2 linked regions of the Arabidopsis thaliana genome follow. The protein of the gene in region 1 interacts with the protein of each later gene in a biochemical or structural test. Each region holds a gene or a part of one and is shown in the gene's direction. Other genes may lie near its edges. The genes, in order: WRKY21 and CAM5.

Region 1 (5,078 bases):
TAATTAGAAACTGTTGTATTGAGATTTCAAGAGGAATCAATAATAAGGTACTACTAGGGTTTTATTTCAATTAGGTTTGAATCTTGGGTCATTGTGACGAATAAATTATCTACTTGTCGATTTTCTACAAAAAGCACACATGAATTAGATTCAACGTGGCCAATTCATCTAACATATGTTACTAAAACAAGCGCAATAGACGAGTTGGCGTAATTTTATTTTATACTATCTATAAAGTAACGTATGATTCGTCTATCACCAATTATCTTGTAAATGATGGTAAAATGTCTAAATTCGTTTGTCGCTTAATAATGATGATGATATACGTTACTTTAATTAAAAAAAGCGAATTTTCGATAGATACTCTATTAACTAAGCATGCACATATCACGTTGTGATTGATTTATGCCTAGTAAATAAAATTTATCTCCAGCAAGAATAATTGAAACTTCATAACTAATTTTGAATGCTAAAATGTTAAATTGATATATGGGAAACAAGTTATGATACTCAAGAAGTCACCAATATCTAGTATTGGAATCGCTGTGGTGTTTGTTTGTAGATATTTTTCTACATTTAGCAATGTATTACATTATGATTGCAAGAGGAAGCAATATTAAGGTATTAATAAGGTTTTTACTTTTACCGGGTTAGAATTTTGGGTTTGTTTATTGGATGAAGAAATTATCCACTTGTCGATCTTTCATAAAAAGCACACGTGAATTAGTTTCGACATAGTTATATAGTTCTCCTAATATACGTTATTTGAACAAGAATACTTGACTAGTTGATGTAACGATGTTTTCTTAACGTTTCAAAAGTAACGTACGATTCTTCCATAACCAAATGTCTTGTATATAATGGTAGAATATATATTTTGTTTTGTCGCCTAATGATTATGATGTGCGTTACTTTAATTTAGAAAGCGGACTATTTAAAAACTGCTATATTGAAACCGCAAGAGAAAGCAATAGTAAGGTATTAATATGGTTTTACTTCAGCCAGATTTAAACCACCAACAATACTTTAAACCATTGGTCGATCTTTCACCACAAAAACCACACGTGAATTAGATTCGGTGTGGCTAGTTCCCTAAACATACGTTACTAGAACAAGCGCACTTGACTAGTTGGCGTGACGATGTCTTTCTTACTAATTTAAAAGTAACGTATGATTCGTCCATTACCAATTGTCATATACCTAATATAAAATATAAATTCGTTTGTCGCTTAATAATGATAACATGCGTTACTTTATGTTAAAAAGCCAATTTTCGATAGATTTTCTATTAATTGTAACGTTATAATTCATTATACATAACAAAAAAAATCTTCAACAATAATATATTGAAATTTCATAACTAATGGATGCTAAAATGTTAGATTAATAGATAGAGAAAACTTATAATACTCAAAACATTTAACACCAAAATTTCCAATATCTAGTAATGGAAATGTAATGTTTGTTAGTATATAAATTTCTGCATTTAGCAACACTTATGCTTAAAAACACATCATTGATCCGTAGAATAAAAAGACACCTCAAGTGTACTAAGTAACCGTTAGAAACTGCGTAAAAAAGTTTGGTACCACTTTTTCTTTTACTTTTTTTGTTTTGTCAAGTTACTTATCAAAAACTTGGAAATTAACTTTCTCTCTTTTTTTTTAAACTCGTGAATAACAATGAAACATTCGTATATTTTTATATCATAAAAGAAAACAATACGGTATTATATGAACAAAAAAAACTTAAAGATAAAAGAGGTCAACAAAATGTCCGAAGTATGATGATGCTAAGTTTGATTAGTTATCTTTTTTATGTCAGAGAACAATTAAATTTGTTTTATTATTATACTAAAAGAAGAAAAACCTAAACTGCAAAAATAATAATTACGACCCGAGTCTTCGAGTAGGACCCACCTCTGAATCTGTGACAGACGCCGGTTTCGTTCTCTCTCTCTCCTTTTTTTCCTCTCTTTGCTTTTCCAAAAAATAAAGTTGTCTTTTTTTATTTATAATAAAATGATTTGTTGTTTCACAGTGTGTTGTTTGTTTTGGGGTAAAAAAGAAAATCATAAGGATGCTTTCAATATTTGTTTTGTTTTGGTTGAGTGATTGCTGAAGCCAACTTAAAAGAGAGAGAAGAGAAGAGTGACTCTGTGTGTGTGTGCAAGAAAGTCTTCTCTTTCACACCTTTCGTTTTCTCGAACCTCTCCTTTAAAGATGGTGGAGGAATCTTGGGTTTGACAACTCATTAACACTGACCCTCTTTTTAGCTCTACAAGCATCCAAGGAACCCCTCTTACTTTTCCCTCTTCTTCATTCCCTCTCTCTCTATATCTCCCAATTCCTTCTCTTTTTTTAACCTTGATCTTCTTCTTATAAGAGACTCAGAGCTGTTCTTCAAGATGGGATTGTGTAAGCTTGAAACTTGACTATCTGGGTCTCTCCCATTTTCTGTTCTCTTTTGTATTCTGAGTGAAAGTTTTGTTTTCTGGGGGAAAAAATTAGGGTTCTTAGATGGAGGAGATAGAAGGAACAAACAGAGCAGCTGTTGAGAGTTGTCATAGAGTTCTTAATCTTTTACATAGATCACAGCAACAAGATCATGTTGGTTTTGAAAAGAATTTAGTATCTGAAACTAGAGAAGCTGTGATTAGGTTCAAGAGAGTTGGGAGTTTGTTAAGCAGTAGTGTTGGTCATGCTAGGTTTAGAAGAGCTAAGAAACTTCAGAGTCATGTCTCTCAAAGTCTCTTACTTGATCCATGTCAACAAAGGACAACAGAAGTTCCATCATCATCTTCTCAGAAAACACCGGTACTCCGGTCTGGTTTCCAGGAATTGAGCTTGAGACAACCTTCAGATTCACTCACTTTAGGGACTCGCTCTTTTAGTTTAAACTCAAATGCTAAAGCTCCTCTCCTTCAGCTTAATCAGCAGACAATGCCTCCTTCGAATTATCCTACTTTGTTTCCAGTACAACAACAACAACAACAACAACAACAACAACAACAGCAGGAGCAGCAGCAGCAGCAGCAGCAGCAACAGCAACAGTTTCATGAACGGTTACAAGCTCACCATCTTCATCAGCAACAGCAGCTACAGAAACATCAAGCTGAGCTTATGCTTAGGAAATGCAATGGTGGGATAAGTTTGAGTTTCGATAACTCTAGTTGTACTCCAACTATGTCATCCACTAGGTCCTTTGTTTCTTCACTTAGCATAGATGGTAGTGTTGCTAATATAGAGGGAAAGAACTCCTTCCATTTTGGGGTTCCTAGTTCAACTGATCAGAATTCACTACATTCTAAGAGGAAATGCCCCTTGAAAGGAGATGAACATGGAAGCTTAAAATGCGGGAGCTCTAGCCGATGCCACTGCGCTAAGAAGAGGTCAGTTCCATATTTTTGTTTCGTTTTCATAGCCTCTCTTTACTAAGATGGTGTAGTTAATCTGATTGGGAAATTGACAGGAAACATCGGGTTAGGAGATCGATTAGAGTACCGGCTATAAGTAACAAGGTTGCAGATATCCCTCCTGATGATTATTCATGGCGAAAATATGGTCAGAAGCCCATCAAGGGCTCTCCTTATCCCAGGTATACACTTCTTGATCATATTTTGTTATGTTAAGAAGTGATAAAGATTGATGTCACATGCAAAGAACCATCCTTTTAACATTAAGGCTTTTGAGTTTTGATGAGAAAAAAGAGTCTAAAAATGGCTAAGAGATGACACAAGTAAGATGAGTCCTTTTAAGGAAGTGTTGTATTGGATTTTTGTGTGCAGAGGATATTACAAATGTAGTAGCATGAGAGGTTGTCCAGCGAGGAAGCATGTTGAGAGATGTTTGGAAGATCCGGCAATGCTTATTGTTACTTATGAAGCAGAGCATAACCACCCGAAATTGCCATCTCAAGCTATAACAACTTAACTCTCGTTTATCTTTGCGGTCCAGCATAAACCTTCTCATGTATGTTGTTCTCTTTTGTGCGCGATGATCGGCTTTGGGGTTGCTGCAATGTTGTGATATATGGATCGGGGTAAGTGCTTTTGTTGGGGTGGATTTGCTTGTGAGAGTTTGCTGCAATTGTTGGATTTTGAGCTATATATGGGGTAAATGTAGGATTGGTCAAGACTCTTTTTCTGTTTCTCAAGTTTATTGGTCTTAATGATTAAAAGTTTAATGGTTTGTTTCTGGCTATGTATCTTTTTTTTCTTCTCAAGTGGCTTTTTCTTTTATGATTGGTACTGTTAGAATTTGGAGATTGTTGCTAAGTAACTTAATCATTTAGCAAGGTAGCTTAAATCTAAGATGATTAGGGATAAAGAATATTGGATTCTGTTCTGAGTTTAGAGAATATTGGATTCTGTTCTGAGTTTAGAGAATATTGAATTCATGTATCAAGCATAATGAATGAAACTTATTTTAAGACAAAATTGAGTTTGAGATTCCATTTTAGGAATAGACAACAAGTCTACAAAGTGCTCACTTATGTACTAATATAAGAATTCACTAAGTTAGTAAACCTATCATTAATCCCGAAAATGTTAAGTAGTTTGATGAAAATCAGAAGTATGCGTAAAATAATAACAAAGAATGAGAAAATCTGACACGTTTAAGCGCATTTTTGGTAAATTTAATCTGAATATTCATCTCATTCTTTTTTAAAGAACACTTACACTAATTACATTCCCTTTTCTTCTCCATTTATCATGTATTTTATATAATATTCTCATCTAAAAGATCATTCTCATTAATAGTATAGATTATTTAAAAGTGGGTGTTGAAACCTACAAAATAAAATTAAAACACATTTCAAAACTTTAAAATGGATGTCTCTTACATATGTAACAGAAATCACATTGTCCAACTATCTACTATACTTATGTGAAAAAAACATACATATGCCCAAAATTGTTATCAAACCAAAATGTTCTGGAAATAGCCCATTGGACATCTATTTATAAAATTGCATACACTTTAGCTAAAAAAAAGTACTTCAGTTTGTTGTTAGAATATTCAAATTCAAGAATTATTTTTGAAAGAATTGTGTGCAGAATATCAAAGAAATTTTGA
Region 2 (4,958 bases), 1.5 Mb from region 1:
AATCTTAGATATAAGCTACTGATGTTTTCATTGATACCTCTCATAGCTTCGTGCTTCAGACTTAGCACGCGCAACAATTTGCCTCCCATCAGCTGCAAGCCCAGCAACAGCCTGACATGACAGAAGTAGAAATACCCATAATCATGAAACAAAACAATATACTACGAGACTAGACACAATAGTAGTTACAAAAAACTTGAAAGATACATATCCTCAGCAGAAACTAATTTCCTATAGTTTAGGAGAAAAAAACATACCATGCCAGCATGACGATGAACAGAATGGATTCTCCTGTTGGAACCTGGTAGCATCATCTTTGATGCAATAAGTTTCTCAACTCCCTAAAAACCACCAAATGATAAACACTTAGCAAGACCATTCCTTTATCAAAAATCTGCGTAAAATCTTACAAAACCCAAAACTAACAACAGATTCACAACATATCGAACAGGAAATGAAACTAAGGGACTGTAAAATGTGTCATCTTGGGTCAAAATTTACACGGTATATATTACATCAAATCTACAATTCTGATAACAAAAATGTGAATACTTCATTCCAAGGTTAAATCACAGCACGAGAGACTAAACCCACTGAAGAAAGTGACAAAGTAGTATAAAAATCAATAGAGGAAGGAGGAAGAATCAAACCATAACAATCCCATCTTTGCACTTGATTCCAACAACAGTCCTGCGAAGAAAAAAAAAGGGAAAGACTTTTAACAAACCCTAATTCGTGTCGATAACCAAAATCTCAAAGTTTTCAGAAGCTAAATCCGATCTACTAAAGGGCGAAGATCGAAGAAGATAAAGCCAACTAACCCACTGTTGTCGACAGCTTTAGCGGCGTACTCGATCTGGAAAACACGGCCATCGGGAGAGAAAGTGGTGACGGAGAGATCGTACCCAGTTCCAATGCTACTCATCTTCCTTGATTTTTTTTTTCTCTGACTCTTTTCTGATTTCTTCTTCGTCGAGTGATTTAAGCTGAGATCGAAGAAAGGGGTTTTCTTTGTTCTCAAGCCAGAGACAAGCCAAATCTTTGGAGCTCCGTCTGACTCCGGGTTGGATATTAAAACGATTCGGGTTGTTTTGTCGGGTGGGTCGATTCGGTTATTAACGGGCTTTATTAATATTATGATTTGGCCCATTCTTTGGTAATCTTTTAACGGTATCGTGAATATTTTTAAGTGATTTTCCTCTTTTGTATAATTTTGAATAATCAACCACATGAGGAAGAAAGAAATATTTCTCTTACTCAACAAAATATATGATCATACAACACTTCTTTATGAACTCACTAGAGGTAAGACTATAATATGCTCTAGCATTGGGACACACAAACTTTGGGATGCTCAACATTACATGTTTTTAAAACCAAGACAGTAAATTACCTATAATTGTGATGGATACAATAAGTTTGTTTTTTACTACATCTCTAGCCAAACTGAGAGACATAGTTGTGGCGATCAAAAAAGTATGACAGTTTTGCGAAAACTGGATCTTGTTTAATATCAAATCTTTAAGTGAAGGTCATGATGCTTAACTACCCATTAGGTGACCCTTCCAACAACAAAGTAGTGATTTTTGTCCTAACTCCTAGATGATTATTAATTACAAAAACAGTAAATAAAAAGTACTACTATTTCTAAATTTTCTTATAATGCTAAAACTTTTTCTTTGGTTAACTTAATTAAAAAGTAGTTTAAAATCCATGGTAAACACAAAGCTAAACCTTTTTTACCGTTTTATATCACTAGTAATCCCATTCTACCAACTCGTTGAATACTTAGTATTGGTACGCATGGTAAGATCAGTAACTTATATGAACTAAACCATTCAAAGCATGTAAATGGTTGTCGGCAAAACAACAATACTATTTCTTTTCACAAGGGAATATATACATCACCTCCCTCTTAAGTAAAGCTAGTCGAATTGAAAACACAATAAGGCCCAGTGGAGAACAAAACAAAAGAAGAATAAAAAAGAGAATCAGATTCGAAATTATTGTTATTGGGCCTAATGGGCCTTTTCTTTTTCCTTCTTTATAATTCCACACAACAATCCTCTCATTACACACACCAACGTTGATTCTTCTTCTTCTTCTTCTTCTCTCTTTCTCATCTAAACCAAAAAATGGCAGATCAGCTCACCGATGATCAGATCTCTGAGTTCAAGGAAGCTTTTAGCCTTTTCGACAAAGACGGAGATGGTTCTTCTCTCTCAGATCTTTCCTCTTTTGTATAATTTTCATTCATAATAGACTCACTTGCGTTTTTTTTGGTGTTTTGAGTATCACTTAGTCTTGGCTTTAGGAATTTGATGCTCTTCGTTGTCCATAAAATCTCTGGATATTCACATTAACATTAAACGCGAGATTTGATGATATCTTTATCGTTCGTTGATTATAAATTATAATCGCAATCGGATCTATCTCGATAATAATCTCTAACTTAATCGTGTTTTAGTCTTCCAGATTTTACTAATTGTGATTAGAATTGACACAAATCTTAGAATTCAATAATCGAAGTAGATTACATTGACATTTGTAGATTTTTTGTTTAATTGATTCAGTTATTTGAGTAGGTTACAATGAAATTTGAAGATTTTGTGTTCATTTGATACAGTTGTTAGAGTAACTAAAATGAAATTTGAAGATTTTGTGTGTTATTAGAGTAAATTACAATGAAAATTTGAAGATTTGGTGTTAAAATCTGTTACTGATTTGAGAGAAATGTGTGGTTTTGTGTTTAGGTTGCATCACAACGAAAGAGCTAGGAACAGTGATGAGATCATTAGGTCAAAATCCAACAGAAGCAGAGTTACAAGATATGATAAACGAAGTAGATGCTGATGGTAACGGAACCATAGACTTCCCTGAGTTTCTGAACCTAATGGCTAGGAAGATGAAGGACACTGACTCTGAAGAAGAGCTCAAAGAAGCTTTCAGGGTTTTCGATAAGGACCAGAACGGTTTCATCTCGGCAGCTGAGTTAAGACATGTAATGACAAATCTTGGTGAGAAGTTAACTGATGAAGAAGTTGATGAGATGATCAAAGAAGCTGATGTTGATGGAGATGGTCAGATCAATTATGAAGAGTTTGTCAAAGTTATGATGGCAAAGTGAGGAAACTATTCTCATATCTTTTCTCTCTTTTTCTTTCTTTCTTTTTTTGAATTGAACAACTCTGATTATTGCTTTATTCTATGTTTGACTGTTCATTATTATGCATTCGTCCCAAATTTCATGTTATGAACTATTTTGTGACTTTGGGTTAAATTATTTGTTTGGAAGTTTTTAGTTTATTTTATATTATGTGAAGTACCATTGTAATGGTCGTTGAAAAAGCTATCTCTTGGTATTAGTACTTTTTTATTTTATTGTATTTTATAGTTTGCAATGTTTGTTAAAAAAAAAAAGGGTTATTTGTGTGATTAAAATTTGTAGGAAAAATGTCTGAAAACATTATATCGGTAGTTTTAAAAGCTTAGAATTTTTTATTTATTTTTAAATTGTTGGTCAATTTGGAAATTCCCCTATTTTTTAGAGGAATGTTGGCAATAATCCATATAATTTGAGTCAAATTAAAATATGTTTTTCTTATTTTACGGTTCATATAAGAAAATAAGTAAACTGTTAGAAAAAAGTATTATCATTTGTAACGATTAAAACAAGAGATAAAATTTAGGAAATACGAAAAAGGGTTAAAGAAAAACATAACTTCCATTTCATTTTTTCTTTCAAAAGTTTTCAAGCTTCAGTTCTCTTTTTCCCCACTTCAACTTTCAGCTTTGTAAATAACATTCGTGTTTTTCTTGATTCAATATATTCTACATTTTAACAAAAACATATAAAAAGTGGTGTATGCATACAGTAGTTATTCGTGAGGTAGAACGTAATTGTTTAAATTAAAAGGCAGATATGTTTTGGGGAATAAAATCAAAAATGGATGGTAAGTAGCAAAAGCTAGATAGATGAAATGAGAATCTCCAAACCTTTAATTATGACTGAACTTTTTTGTTGGTAACCAGTATTTTTTATTTTTACTTTTTTTTGTTACAAGGCTTAGTTTCTTCTTTTTCTTTTAAATATTATCGAAAATCTTGATACCTAATTATTTTAAAATGTGTGTAATTTATTAGGAGAAGAGGGAAGAGAGTTATGGCAGCAAAGCGTAGTAGCAATTCTGCTGAATACAAAGAAAAGAATGGTCGCCGGAAAAGTCACTGCCGTATTCTCTGAGCTCCGACCATTTGCTTCTTAATTCCTTTTCTTTATATGTTTGTGTGCAATAAGAGATTTGTACCTCTCACACCCATTAAACGGATTTTAAATGTCATATCTTGTTTGAATATGTTAAATATTTACTATACTGTTATATAAAAAGTTTTAAAGTACTATCAATATAGTAAGTTCATTTAGGCATTTCCTATCTACCACAATGTTTAATTTTCGTCTACAACATACGCACACTTATCAAACTTGAATCCAAGTATATAGCGACAACACTAAATCCGAGTTATGATACGACGGTGGCACTAGTACAGAAACACTATCACAATGTTTTTAAGATATTAGCAAGAGAAAACTCAGAAAAGATACACGACCAATATTAGGAGACTTTAACTAATACTCTGGCGATCTAACTGTTATAATTTATCAGTTGATTTAGGCGTTAGGCATTTGCTATCTATCAACAATGTGGGCGGGCATATGGTCTAATTCTTGTGAGATGATAATACAATTAAAACAAAGAAAATACTTTTTTAGGAACTAAACCTAAACTTAAAAGTCTTTCTAATCAGTTGCTATTTAAGTATTTTCATAATAAATCAAGAAATGCAAATTGTACATGAATTCGAAAAGCCTCTCGTTAAGAAAACTTATGATTAAGAATATAATATCCAAATACTAGTTTATAACACCAAATGCATTGAAACACTTTGTGTCACTTAGC

Evidence for each region.
Region 2: the proteins of WRKY21 (region 1) and CAM5 form a complex in vitro, tested with the Arabidopsis thaliana proteins (one study listed by BioGRID).

Annotation. Positions count from the first base shown.
Region 1 is NC_003071.7:13,031,372-13,036,449, forward strand, and holds WRKY21 (WRKY DNA-binding protein 21), read left to right. Parts: upstream 1-2,046; 5' UTR 2,047-2,519; coding exon 2,520-3,391; intron 3,392-3,471; coding exon 3,472-3,597; intron 3,598-3,787; coding exon 3,788-3,932; 3' UTR 3,933-4,426; downstream 4,427-5,078.
Region 2 is NC_003071.7:11,529,934-11,534,891, forward strand, and holds CAM5 (calmodulin 5), read left to right. Parts: upstream 1-2,033; 5' UTR 2,034-2,135; coding exon 2,136-2,211; intron 2,212-2,753; coding exon 2,754-3,123; coding exon of another isoform or gene 3,124-3,127; exon of another isoform or gene 3,128-3,351; intron 3,352-4,143; coding exon 4,144-4,243; 3' UTR 4,244-4,425; downstream 4,426-4,958. Other genes in the region: PAG1 (20S proteasome alpha subunit G1), read right to left, coding at 38-111, 258-341, 651-690, 822-1,231. UniProt on the Arabidopsis thaliana protein: Calmodulin mediates the control of a large number of enzymes, ion channels and other proteins by Ca(2+). Among the enzymes to be stimulated by the calmodulin-Ca(2+) complex are a number of protein kinases and phosphatases.